Elephas maximus indicus: one gene and its partner. The protein of the gene in region 2 interacts with the protein of the main gene of each other region in a biochemical or structural test. Links are inferred from orthologs where the notes say so. Each region holds a gene or a part of one and is shown on either strand. Other genes may lie near its edges.

What was found. The genes of interacting proteins can lie anywhere in the genome.
Region 1: the proteins of PJA1 (region 2) and NSMCE3 form a complex in vitro, tested with the Homo sapiens proteins (2 studies listed by BioGRID). The link is inferred for Elephas maximus indicus from reciprocal best matches to the Homo sapiens genes PJA1 and NSMCE3.

What each region holds. Positions count from the first base shown.
Region 1 is NC_064831.1:94,936,015-94,942,992, reverse strand, and holds NSMCE3 (non-structural maintenance of chromosomes element 3 homolog), read right to left. Parts: upstream 2,127-6,978; 5' UTR 2,005-2,126; coding exon 1,117-2,004; 3' UTR 524-1,116; downstream 1-523. UniProt on the Homo sapiens protein: Component of the SMC5-SMC6 complex, a complex involved in repair of DNA double-strand breaks by homologous recombination. The complex may promote sister chromatid homologous recombination by recruiting the SMC1-SMC3 cohesin complex to double-strand breaks.
Region 2 is NC_064846.1:101,442,621-101,449,773, reverse strand, and holds the start of PJA1 (E3 ubiquitin-protein ligase Praja-1), read right to left. Parts: upstream 3,013-7,153; 5' UTR 2,818-3,012; intron 763-2,817; 5' UTR 538-762; coding exon 1-537. UniProt on the Homo sapiens protein: Has E2-dependent E3 ubiquitin-protein ligase activity. Ubiquitinates MAGED1 antigen leading to its subsequent degradation by proteasome. May be involved in protein sorting.

The DNA of each region.
Region 1 (6,978 bases), on a different chromosome or scaffold from region 2:
ACTACCAACTTTGCTTAGCAGCTGAGCTCTTAACCACTGCACCACCACAGCTCCAGACCAAGAACAAAACACAAATTTTCAAAAAATTTAAGGAATAACAGCCAAAATCCTCCACGGCAGGCAGTGTGTCACATCTAATTATCACACATGATATATCCAACATCAGCCTCATTTTACAGGTGAGGAAACACCTATACCCAGGTTAAGTAACCCATCTAAGCTTTTACAGTTAGTTAGAGGTGGGGGCCAGGATTTGAACCCAAGCAGGCTGATTCCTGGTCAGGCCTGGTCAATCACTACAGTTTCACAAAGTCTTCTGTGACCCACAGTGAAAAGTGTGATGCACATTTACACACATTAAAGTGAAAGGTCTGTAAAACTCTACTCATGTTACTGTATGTAGCACAAACTGTCTTTTTCATTTCTATTTAAGATGCTGGTTTCCAGCCAAAATGAATTTCTCACGACACATGATTAAAAAAACACACACTGCTTAACTGCTTCAAAAATAGTGTTTATTACAGTAACAGTAATAGCGAAAAAGAAAAAAAGGATAAAATCTAAGTGGAACTTAACTGTCAGCAACCCAGCTAGATAATTACTATGAATATTATACAGAAAGATAAATATTTTCAGAGAAAATACTGAAGATATATTCCTTGGAACCACCAAAAATGCTTAAATACGTAAAACATATAAAAATACAATGACTGTGTTAAGGTAACAACAATACAGGCAATTACACTTTAATTTATAATGACTTTTTATTTTTCCCTTCAAACTGGGGTAAAGAGGCCAGAGAATACCTCTGTGGTTTTTTACTTGGCACCAAAGCAATTTACTGATGTGTTTTTTCTTACATATGTTTCAGAACAGGGCACGAAATGTTACGATCAGTTTTACGAAGTAGTAACATTTTCTTATATCAAAAAAATATAGACTATACAACAAAGCAAAGCAATTCCTTACACATGTAGATTTGGAACCAAGTAATTTAGCAAAATAAACACGAACACATCTTCGCAAGCTAGTCAAGCGTCACAGAACTATTTCCCACCCCCACCTCTTCGGCCTCGGATCCTCCTCCCAGGAGTCCCTCTGAGTCTACCTGGGACTTCACGAGGAGGGGGCTGGGACACCGGGCTGAGGTCTGGCCCTGGCCGCCTCGTCTGCCAAAGCCTCACAGTACTGCACGGGCCAGTCCTTGGGGTCTTGGTTATGGATTTTGGCCACAAACTTAAGGACTTTCATCTTGGTAGTTTCCAGGTTGGTGCGCGGGCCCCACTGCAATTCATAGTCCACAGGATCAGTGTGGGGTAACCGTCGGTACTCCAGGTAACGCTGGCGCACAAAGTCCTCGGTGATGAGCTTCTTCGGGTCCCCGAACACCGAATGCCTCTTGGTGGGGTGCACCCCTAGGCGCCGCAGGAAGTCCCAGACCTCCGTCTCCTTGATGGTGTGGCCCCTCATGAAGATGAGCCCCAAGACGATCATCAGCAGGCCGGCGCCGGGCGTGCCCTGGTCCCCTCTCACCTCCGCGTCCTCCTCCACCGGCTCCAGGGTGTTGACCAGGACGTACGTGCTGCTCTTGGGCTCCAGCTCCACCAGCCTGTACCCGAAGACGTACTCGAGGCGCTGGGCGGCGAGCCTGAGCAGGTCGGGGAAGACGTCCTTGTAGTCCCCCACGACGTGTCTCAGGAGCTCGGTCCGCTTGACCGGCATCTTCTTCTGGTCCTTAATCAGCAAGAACTGCACCAGCTCGGCCACCTTCACCTCCAGCTGCTTCTGGGACCTGGGCCCCACGGCGGGGGCGGCCAGGGCCGAGCGGGCGCCCGGGGACCCGGTGCCGGGGGCCTCCTGCGAGCCGCCCGGCCCGCGGGAGGTGCTCGGGGCCTCGTCGGCCGCGCCGCCCCGCGGGCGCCGGCTGTCTCCGCCGCGGCCGCCCTCCCGCTCCCGCTCCGTCGGGGCCCCAGGGCGTCCCCGGACCCTCGACTTCTGCAACATGCTATCTGGCTACTGAGGCCGGACGCCGGCTCGGACACTGGCCGCTAGCAAAGCTCCAGCGACCGGCGGCGGCGGGATCCCAGCGCGCGTGCGCGGGGCATTGTGGGTCGGCGTTATCCGCCTCGGGGCGAGACTGGGCGGGGCCGAGGGCGGAGCGCTGCGTCGGTGGGCGGGCCCGGGGCGGAGCCCTGCGCCGGTGGGCGGGTCCGGGGGCGGAGCGCTGCGTCGAGTCGGCGGAGTCTGCGCACTGCGTCCCGGACGTCCGCGGGCCGGCGGCGGCGGTTTCTGCGCAGCCGCGGGCTGTCTGCGGGCGGGAGCGGTGGCGGTTACTAGACTTAAACTTGTTGTCCGTCCTTACCGAACAACACAAATAGAGAACAGGACCGAAAGTCCTAAACAAGTGTGCTGCTGAATTCAGGACCAAACAGGTCCAGGCAAATTTAACAGGCTCTCTAGAAAAATTAAGAACTTTAAAGTCGGGAATATTTGTGAAAGGAGGGAACCCAAAGGATCAATGTAGGCGAAAATCGAGGTGAAGGGGAAGGTAAGGCCGTGAAAGGCAACCAAACCCGCTGAGACCCTGCCCATTCTGCCTCATAGCGACCCTACAGAACAGAGTAGAACTGCCCTATAGGGTTTCAGAGAAGCGGCTGCTGCATTCCAACCGCCCATCTCTGGTTAGCAGCCGAGCGCTTTGCCACTGCGCCACCAGGGCTCGGTGAAAGGTAGAGGAAAGACATGTATTTCTACAGGGAGGCGCAAAAAGAGTGAGCGAGCCTGAGGGCTTCTGATTTGCCTCAGGGAGGCTCTGACCTCGCCACTCCCTCCTCTGAGTCGGAATCGACTCGATGGCAGTGGGTTACCGGCGGTTGGAATCCACCAGCCGCTCCTTGGAAACCCCATGGGGCTGTTCTCTGTCCTATAGGGTCGCTAAGAGTTGGAATCAACTCCAGGGTGACGGCTTCTGTTGAACTATTACCGCTAGTTTCCTTCTCTAATGTCCCTAAGAGTCGATTAAGAACAAGTGTTCGGTAAAAGAAGGGTTTCCTCGAAAGTAGGAATTTTTCCTTCTTTTCTCTCTTTCAGTGTTCTCTATGTTAAATTACGTCAGCTAGACAATTATGACAAAACCACTACACAAAACCTGTTCAGTGCAATTTTTTTGCTTGGTCAGCTGAGTTTATCTTTTGGAAGGCACACGTTCATGTAAACTGCCTTGGGACCGCAAGGACAATTTTAGCAGAAATGGGTAAGAAGGATACTACGGAGAAACATACTCTGTCTGGAGATTACCATTTAATTTTGGGCATCACTGATCAAGAAATGCGATAATGTAAATCTCTTAAATTTCTGAAAAATAAATATATCAGCCTTCAGGCTCAATGAGAAAGAAAAGAGAACCCAGGGGTATCATCCCTCATAATCTATGATGTGTGTGCTGTGTGTATATATTTTAATTGTGCAACTCTTTAATAGCCAAAAAAGAGCCATTTCATTAACTTGAACCAGCAATTATGCCCCCATTACTTATATAGATCTTAGCAGTGTGTTCCTTCTTTATTTATGGACTTGTGAGGAAGAAACTGAATTTCCCTTTTGGCGTTTTTAAAGCTACTCTACAAAGTGGGTAAATTCTGTGAAGAACCAAATCACGTTGAGTTCCTCTTTAATGCAGATATATTCAAAGGAAAGCAATTCAGAACAGACTATTTGAATAATAATATCAAAACACCACCTTATTAAAATTTCATTAAATGTTAGTAGTATGAAATTTTTGTAATCCAATATGAAAATGCAATCTGATAAAGGCATTGGAATTGCAATACTAAATGTAAAATGATATTCCACGTTGTGATGCAAATATGCTACAAGTCTGGTAAGCTACTAGTAATAACTTTCTGTTCCACACAAGATCCAGCAACATATCCCCAAGAATCAATCTTAGGGAGGGACGCCTACTAAGAAAAACAGATCATCAAGCAGTCTTTTTTTTTTTTTTTTTTACAATGAGAAAATGCATCTGCTTCAAAGTTTCTTTGCAAATTAAAATTCAGACTCAAGTTCAAAGGAGTCTCCTATAATCTAGAATTCTACAGAATGTCTCTCCACAAGGATCAGCTGTATCCTGAGTAAAAAATTTCAGCAACCAAAAGATAAAGGAGAAATGGAAAATAAAAAGATGAAAGCCACTGTCGACAGCTGGGCTAGCTCTTCGGAGTTTGTTCTTGATAAGGTATTCGTTTAAATTCCCAAGCAGCCCCAGCTCTCAGGCTCCCCCATGACTCTGTGAACATTAGCACTGCCCTTCAGTGACCTCTTCCTCAGATAGCACATGGTCATTGCTCAGAATGGCTGAGAAAAGACACTACTTCTAAGTCTTAAAACACCTCTACCCTTCTTCCAGAAAAATACCAAGACCAAAACCATTGCCATCGAGGCAATTCCAACTTTTTTTTTTTTTTTTTATGGGACAGAGCAGAACTGCCACATAGAGTTTCCAAGGCTGTAATCTTTATAGAAACCCCATGGGGCAGTTCTACACTGTCCTATAAGGTCACTATGAGTCGGAATCGACTTGATGGCAGTGGGTTTGGTTTGGTTTTTTGGTTTAATCTTTATGGAAACAGACTGTCTTATCTTTGTTCTGCAGAGTGCCTGGTGGGTATAAACCAGTGACCTTTCAGCAGCCAAGCGCTTAACCACTTCATCATCAGGGCTGCATTCCAGAAAAATGCAGGTGACAAAATAGGATTTCAGGCACTGCAGAGAGAAGACATCCTCACCTCACCTCAGATAATTACTGAAGGCCATGGGTATTTGGGGAGAGACTGTGGTGGTGATGATGGCAATGAAAACACAGTAATGTACATGACGATAACTAATGATTGTAAAAAGGTATAATACGGTCAAACCCTGTTCCAGGTGATTTACGTGTATTCTTTTAATCTCCACAACCCAATGAGGTCTGCATTTGTTACCTTCCTCTTCACTCAGATGAAGAAACTGAGGCACAGAGAAGATTCAGCACTGTCTTAAGGTCGCACAGCAAATAAGCGGTAGATGTGGGATCTGAACTTAGGATTAGGATGTCTGCCTCCAGAGACTGATCTTATGAACCATATGTTGATGTAGAGAGAATATAGACATGATGTCGTTGAAAAAGTTAAGGTTTTGGAATCAGATGGACCTAGATTAAAAGCCTGTATGACACTGGAAGGCTACGGACACCCCAAGTTTCAGCTTCCATGTCAACCAAATGAGAGTAATAATGCTGGGTTCAGGTCATTAAGTGAAATGGGTTTTTGAAGCACCTCTCACAGGCCCTGGCAGAGTTGTCTGTAATGATTGGCTCCCTTCTGGGAGTCATGTTAAGGGAAATATTTGATGACTGCACAATACTGTACATAGAAAGATGTCTACTGCAGTGAAACGCAAATCAGAAAAACGTCTGGAAGAACACAGATGTGTATATCAAGGTGCTGTTAAAGTTATTTTAAAAATAAAATTCAATCGTGATTTTTTTGCTTGGGAGATAAATGAGAAATATATTTTTAATGAAGCTTAACTTCCCAGTGACATCATGGCATACCAGTCATGTACCTTCAGGGTGATCTGATAGGGCGTTTGTGGTTTCCTGTTCAGGCAGTGAAATATAAAGACAAGTGTTAAAAAATACTCAAACGCTCCATGCTTCTGGCCTTCATACTATTACTGTTGTTGTTGTTAGAAGCCATCTAGTCAATTCCACTCATGGCAACCCCGTGTATGCAGCATAGAACTGCTCTATAAGGTTTTCAAGGCTGTGACCTTTCCTAAGTAGATCACCCAGGCCTGTCTTCCGTGGCACCTCTGGGTGGGTTAGAACTGCCAAGTTTTCGGCTAGTAAATGAGCACTTAACTGTCTGCACTACCTAGGGCCTCCAGGCCCCCTCTCCCATGCGTATATTTTAATGGTTGGCAATAAAATCTCTCTTGATTGTATCTACTGGGTCCTAACAAAGATCTTCCTGGATTAGACCACATGATAGACTACCTAATATTTATCCCTCTTGGAAGAATATTTTAATTAAGCAGCAACAGTGCATTCCTTGTCTGGTGGAAGGCGTGGGGAGGTGGATTTTGATGAGACAGGGCATTTCCAAGCACTACAGCCATTTGGTTGGAAGCCTCTTCTTAGACTTTCTTTTTTGTGTGTGTGGGGCTATTTTAAACCTGTTATTGTTTTTTTAATACTGACATCATCTATATGACGAGATGATATTTAGCACACAAGGTTGTTTTGAGGAGAACATCTAGCACATAGTGTTTTTTTTTTTAAGCATACTTTTTTAAGTTTATGGAGAAAGTGTGCAGAAAGAACAGCGTTCCCTCATACACCCTTCCTGCCCTGCAGTTTCTCTTATTATTAACATCTTCCATTCCTGTGGTACAATTTTTAGAACTGATTAACCAATATTGACACATTATTATTAACTAAAGTCCATAGTTATCAAGTTTCACTCTTTGTGTTGTATAGTCCTATAGGTTTAGACAAATGCATCATGTCATGTGTCCCCCATTACAGTATCATATAAATAGTTTCACTGCCCTAAAAATGCCCTGTGGTCCTCCTGTTCATCTCTCCTCTACCCCTCACCCCCCAACTCCTGGCAACCATTGATCTGTCTCTTTCGTTTTGCCTTTTCCAGAATATCATATAATTAGAGTCATACTGTACGTAGCTTTTTCAGACTGGCTTCTTTTAGCAATATGCATTTAAGTTTCCTTCGTGTCTTTTTGTACCCTTGATAACTGTCTTAGTTATCTAGTGCTGCTATAGTAGAAATACCACAAGTAGATGGCTTTAACAAAGAGAAATCTATTCTCTTACAGTCTTAATAGGCTAGAAGTCCGAATTCAGGGCCTCAGCTCCAAGGGAAGGCCTTCTCTGTCGGCTCTAGAGGAAGGTCCTTGTCATTAATCATCCCCTGGACC
Region 2 (7,153 bases):
AATCTCCTCTCTCACATCATGGTTAAAACTAGACAACTGTGGTGGCTGCCCAGCCAAAGACCTTGCCCCTTTCTCTGAGTCATACAGCTTATCATCTTTAAACTTTCCAGTTTCCCCTCTTCCTGGTGGTCGCTCAACAGGCCCAGCCCCCTCCTCCTCACTATCATCAGCCCCAAAGGAGTCAATATGTCCATAAGCCATTCCTCTTCTGCCACCTGAAGCCCTGTACTCTCTTGGCAGATATCTGGAATAGTCCTCATTATCAACATTCAGGCTGCTTCCTGAGCTCTCACTGTCATCCCAGCTACGATGAGTGGCAGAAAATGGTGATCGGCTTCTCTTGGTGATTTGACTGGGGGCTGATCCGGGCATCGGGACTTCAGATGCCGTCTTTCTCTGGCTGGAAATTCTTTCCTGCTGGCTCGCGGATGGCCTGAAACTGACATAAGCATGCCTTCTTCCATATCTCCTGCCTGTATTGGACTGATACCCTCCTGCTGGTTTGGGCCATACAGGCTTGCTAGATTCCTGACCCATTGCTCTGACTTAGGAAGGTTTCCAGTACAGCTGGCGCGTGGGTCCTGCTGCTCCTTGCACACGCTTTTGAGATGGGACAGTCAAATCAGTTCAGAATAAAAGGAGCAAGGAGATTTATTTTCACTTCAGCAGGCAGGTAACAGAAAGAATACGGGGCCTTTAAAATTAGTTTCACTTTCTTCTAAGGCCTGGAGTAGCATTCCAGTGACTGTCAGGTGTGTAGACCTGGAACACATTTTTAATGTTGGCAAAATGATTACAAAACTGCGTTTGTAGGAAAGCCAGACTTAAAAAGAGAATCGACAGAAGGTGGGGGAGACTGGACATTTGGAAGGCGGGTGAAATACTGTGGAACTGTACCAATGTGGGCAGAAGAAAGACCGCTATGGTTATTGTTTTGTTTATTTTTTATGGGGTGCCTGCATTTTTTTGACCCTGCAGACATATAGGAGAAATGCGAATTGGAATAGAGTGGAAGATATGGATCACTGTGTGTGCACGTGCACGAGTATGTGTGTACGTGCCTGTCAGGAGGAAAGGGGCAGGTGGAAGGTGGGCCAGCAATCCCACCATGAAGGGATGGATGTCTGTCTGCAGTGAGGAGGGGCAGGCAACAGATGCACTGGGAAGGGATGTGAGTGTCAGACAGAATAATACTCACTCTGGATGTGGGTGTGAAAATGACAGGCATGGGTGGGGTGGCTTCAGAGAAGAGGGGTCTGTGTAAGTACGAGAGAAAAAAGAGTGTGTGGGTGTGTGTGTGTGTAGCTGCATGTGTGGCAGGTGGATATGTATGGGGGGATGCGTGTGTTCCAGTGTATGTGGCAGGCAAGGAAGGGTACGGTAGTACTGGAGGTGGTGTCGATGAGTTTGTGTGAGTGTTTGTCAAAATGGGAGGCAGCAATGGAGAAACATCAGTGCGAGCAAATGCAGCAGGCAAGGGGTGGCCCTGGAGAGGGGAAGTGTGTGTGATGAGTGGAACAAGGACAACAAAGAATGTCTGTTTGTGTGACTATAGCAAGCAGGGAGGGGGGTGGTGTCCCTAGAGAAAGATTTATGTAAGTGTGAGTGTGTGCACCCGTGAGGACCAGCAGATGAGGGATGTCTACGCACAAATGTGGGAGACAAGGGAACAGGAGAGGAGAGCACTTGAGGGGGTTGTGTGAAAGGTGTGTGTGAGAGTATATGTATGTAAGGGGCATCCAAAAGAAGAGCCAGCAATAGACAGGTGTCTCATGTGCGTATGTGGCAGCCGCGGAGAGGAGAGGGTGTGTGCGGGTAAGAGAGAGAGAGAGAGGGAGAGGGAGGGAGAGAGGGAGAGGGAGGGAAGGAGGGAGGAGGAGGGAGAGAGAGAGTGAGTGTGTGTGTGTGTGTGTTTGCTAGAGCACACAGATGCAAAGAGAGGAGGTCCTGGAGGTGTGTATGTGGCAGGCAGTGAGGGGCTGGAAGTGGGGGGAGAGAGTGTGTGTATGAGACAGAGAGAGAGAGTGCGTGGGTGTATGTATACGTATTACACAAATACATGCATATAAGTGTGTGTACACACACACACACACACACACACACACACACACCCCTACGCATGTGCAGGAGAGGGAAAGCGCTGGAACCTAGAGTATAAAGGGGAAAGGGGCTGCAATGGAAGATTTCTGTGTGCGTATGCAGCAGCTCGAAATGGGGAGGAGAAGGGGGCCAGCAATGTCATAACGGGAAACGAGAGGAAAACGTTATCAGCTCAAACGGCAGGGAATTGGGGGTGGGGGGGCGGGGAGAAAAGGGCTGGCTATAGTTTTTCCCTGGGAATATTTTTTTTCTTCTGACAGTTCCTTCCCTGAGAAAGATATTTTTTACCTAAAAACAATCTTAACCATTTACCATTTCGCAAAACAACAGGCAAATGGAGGAAGACAGGCCATGGGGTATTCTGCAAAGGGATGGAGGAGAGGAAACAGAGGACGCGAAGGAGAGAAGTGGGAGAGGGCAGAGACCACCACCCCCCCTCTCAAATATCGATTAGAGCCATTCGAGCGGAGGCTACGCCACCAGGGATGAGAAATGCAAGATGGAGCCCCTGAACAGGCTGATGGAGGACACAGGCCTCACTCTGCAGTCAGGTCCCGCGTCCGCCCCACCCCTTCCCGAGGGGGCGAACCTGAAAACCCGCTCGCTAGAACCCCCCAAAATCCTCGCCTCGGCGCCCAGCCACTCGCCCCCATGGCTGGCCACTCACCTACTGCCAGCCTGTAGATGGACCGAGGACATAGATAGCCCTTTACTCACCCAGTCCGGACACCCGCAAGATCTTCGGGGCAACAGAGCTGTCGCACCTCCGACCGCCACGACCGCCAGAGCCGCTGCTCCTGGGTCTCCAGCTCCAACCCGCCAGACAGCAGCGGGGACGTGCTGCGGCAGCGGTGGTGGCGGTGGCGGCAGCGGCGGCGGCGGTGGTGGCGGTGGCGGCGGCGGCGGCTGAGGCGGCGGAAGTGATTGTGGCGTTGACTGGAGCCCGCCCCCTTGATGTGGCGGGGGCCGCAGCAGCCCTGGACAAATCGGGGTGAGCCTGCAGGCATTATTTCATTTTAAATGAAGAATCGTCAAAGATACAGACAGCGAAAAATGTAAAAATCCAGATTTCTAAAATGTTAAGCATTTAGCCCTGTTCCCTTTTTTTTTTTTAACAAGATAAAATTTTCAGATTGTTTCTGATTCATTCCAATGTGAACGCAATCATATTAATATATCATATTCTATGGTCGAAGGATCCCTGGTGTCGCAGTGGTTAAGCACTCAGCTGTAACAGAAAGGTCGACAGTTCGAACCCACCAGCACTCTGCGGGAGGTGTGGCAACCTCTTCCTTGAAGATTTCAGCTGTGGAAACGCTTTGGGGCAGTTGTGCTTTTTCCAGTGGGGTGGCTATGAGTAGGAATCCACTCGACATCAATGGCAATGGGTTATCCTACGGTCTATGTTATGGTTTGAATTGGAACTATTAAAAATGTGAAACTATATTTAAGGTTCCAGGAAGCTTACATTTTTAAATTGAAGCTCTTGTAAAGAGCTGTTGCTGTTAATCACAAAATCAAGCATCTCTATCCAAAAGAAATGATCGTGAAGCACAACATGGGTTCACATTCTGGTAATTGTATTGCAGTTAAAAAAAACACCGTAGCTCTGCTTTTTGGATTTATTCAATATTACTGAACTCTGAACTCTTTTTATGAAATTGCACTTTATAATGAACCTCTAACATTTGCATCAAATGTGAAGAATTCCTATGTTCACAAGGGTAGCGAAGTTTTGTTCTTACTGGAAATAAAATTCATAATAGAAAAACAAAAAATTTAAGGATAACAACAGAAGAGAAATAGGCTGTATAACTTTCAAACCATTAGGGAAATAATGTATGGAACAAAGAGAAAAACTCAGCCTAACCAAGGGCAAGAAATGGGAGGGGCAACAAGAAAGCATGTGAAAAGAAAACAAAAGGACAGGATGTTTATTGTGAGTTTCACCTAAGGCAGGAATTTTCACTGCTGTGTGCCATTGAGTCAATTCCAACTAGTAGTGACCCTATATGACAGAGTAGAACCGCCTCATAGGATTTCCTCTTCTTTAGTTTTTACGGGAGCAGATCACCAGCTCTTTTCTCCTGCAGAGCCACTGCTGACCTTTCCCTCAGTAGCCGACTGCTTAACCATTCCGCCACCAGGGTTCTTAAGGCAGAAATAGGAAAGAAAAATATATACTTGTTATGTACTAGCACAAAATAAGCAAGCAAGCAAGCAAACAAAAGAGAGACATGTAGCAATGTTAATATCAGAAAAAGAAATCAAAGTAAAAAGCATTGAAAAGAAGAAAGGTTTTGTTCACTAAGAAGATATGATAGTCACTAAATTTTTGTGCCAAGAATGTAGTTTCAAAATATATGAAGCAACTACTGCTAGAAATATAAGGAGATCAGGAAATCTGCAGTTATCATGGGACATTTAACCACACCCCTTTTAGGTATATGTCTTCTAGTGCTGCCATAACAGAAATACCACAAGTGCGTGGCTTTAACAAAGAGAAATTCATTCTCTCACAGTCTAGTAGGTTCCAAGTCCAAATTTAGGGCGTCAGCTCGAGGGGACTGCTTTCTCTCTATGTCTGCTCTGGAGGAAGATTCCTTGTCATCAATCTTCCCCTGGTCGAGGAGCTTCTCAGGCCCAGGAACCCCAGGTCCAAAGGATGCACTCTGCTCCCTGTGCTGCTTTCTTGGTGGCATGAGGGCCCCAACTCTTTGTTTACTTCCCTTTCCTTTTTATCTCTTGAGAGATTAAAGGTGGTGCAGGGTACACCCCAGGAAAACTCCCTTTATTTTGGATCAGTAATGTGACCTGGGTAAAAAAAGGGTGCTACAATCCCACCCTAATCCTCTTTAACATAAAATTATAATCACAAAATGGAGGACAACACACAGTCCTGGAAATCATGGCCCAGCCAAATTGATACACACATTTTTGGGGGGACATAATTCAATCCGTGACAGTGTATATGTATATATAAACACTGCCATGGAGTTGATTCTGACTCATAGCGACCCCAGAGGGTTTCCAGTGCTGTAAATCTCTAGAGAAGCAGACTGCCACGTCTTTTTCCCCGAGGAGGAGCCGAGGAGCCGCCCGTGGTTTTGAACCACCAACCTTTCAGTTAGCAGTTGATCTCTTTAACCAGAGCGATAGATCTAATTAAAAAAAAAAAAAAAAACCAAACCCAGTGCTGTTGAGTGCATTCCGACTCATAGTGACCCTATAGGACAGAGTAAAACCGCCCCATAGAGTTTCCAAGGAGCGCCTGGCGAATTCAAACTGCCGACCCTTATGGTTAGCAGCTGTAGCACTTAACCACTACGCCACCAGGGTCTCCGTAGATCTAATAGACTGGAAAAATAAATAAGGATCTAGAAAGTTTGAACAGCACAATTAAACTGATCTAAAAAATTTTTTTAATGTATATGTATTTTTGTGCTTGAGAATATACATTTTCTTTTATTAAAAATATTTCAAACATACAGTAATGTAAAAATTTTATTTTTTTTCCGATCTTCAGGTCCTTCTTTTTTTGAAACGCGATGTTATAGCTGAAGCCCCCATTTCGTCCTATTCACCTTACTTGTCTGTTTTTTTCTTTTTCTCCATATGTACATAAGAGTAAGCAAAATGCACTATTGTTTTGTGTGTTTTAGTTTACATAAATGGCATCGTAATAAATATATCATTTTGAAATTTATTTTTTTAGTCAATTTCTTTTGAAATACAGCATTTTTGATACATGTAGATTGAGCTCGTCATTTTAACTGTTGAGTACTATTGTATGACTTACCCAATATGCTATTACTATAAAATATTATCGTATGGATTTCCATTGTATAAACTCTCCAATTTATTTGTCTCTCCCTCTACTTGAATTGTTTCCGTTTTGTGCTATTATATGTAAGGATTCAAAGAGCATCCTAGTGCATGGTTCTTTGTGCCTTGTGACTCTTCATAGGCTTCCTGCCTCACAACAAAGCTGCTGGTGAGAGAGAGGGAAGCAGAGAGGCCCTAAAATGGAAGCCCGCAGTCTTTTAAAACCTAATTTCGGAAATGACATCCCATCACTTTTTTTTTTAATTGTGGTGAAAATATACATAGTAAAACATACACCAACTCAATAAATTATACATGTACAATTCAGTAACACTGATTACATTCTTCAAGTCGCGCAACTATTCTCGTTACCTTTTTTCCAAATTATTCCACCACCATTGACATAAACTCAATGCCCCCCTAAGCAAAAACTCTCCCTTTTTCCTTCCCTCCCATCCCTGGTAGCCACTAGTAATCTTTGGTTATTTCATATAAGTGAGATCATAGAGTATTTGTCCTTTTACCACTGACTTATTTCGATCACCATGATGTTTTCAATGTCCATCCATGTTGCAGCGTGTATCAGGTCTTCATTTCTCTTAAACAATGGTTGGGTAATATTCCATTGTATGTATGTACCACATTTTGTTTATCCATTCATCCTTTGATGGACATTTCGGTTGTTTTCACCTTTTGGCTATTGCGAAAAGTGCTAAAATGAACATTGGTGTACAAGTCTCTGTTTGCATTCCTGCTTTCAGTTCTTTTGGTTATACGCCTAGGTTTGAGATACTGGGTAATATAGTAGTTCTACGTTTAACTTTTTGAGGAAACTGTTTTTCCCAGCAGCCGTATCATTTCACTCATCACTTTTGCCATATTCTACTTCTTAAAAGCGAATCACCTTAAAAACGAGCCATAGTTTAGCTTAACTAGTAAAAAGGTCTGTTTTGAAAAAAAAAATGTACTATCTATATTGGATCAAATTGAAAACAGCAACTTGAAAGGTTGGATGGGAATCTTAAGAGGCAGTGAGTTTATGTTAATGAGAGAGGAACAACTCAGAAAAGGAGGGTGAGAATGGTTGCACAACTCAATAACGTAATCAATGACACTAAATGGTACGTGTAGAAACTGTTGAATTGGTGTATGTTTTGTTGTGTATATTCTCAACAACAACAACAAAATAAATAAAATTTAAAGAAAAAAGTGAATATGTCTAGTCCGC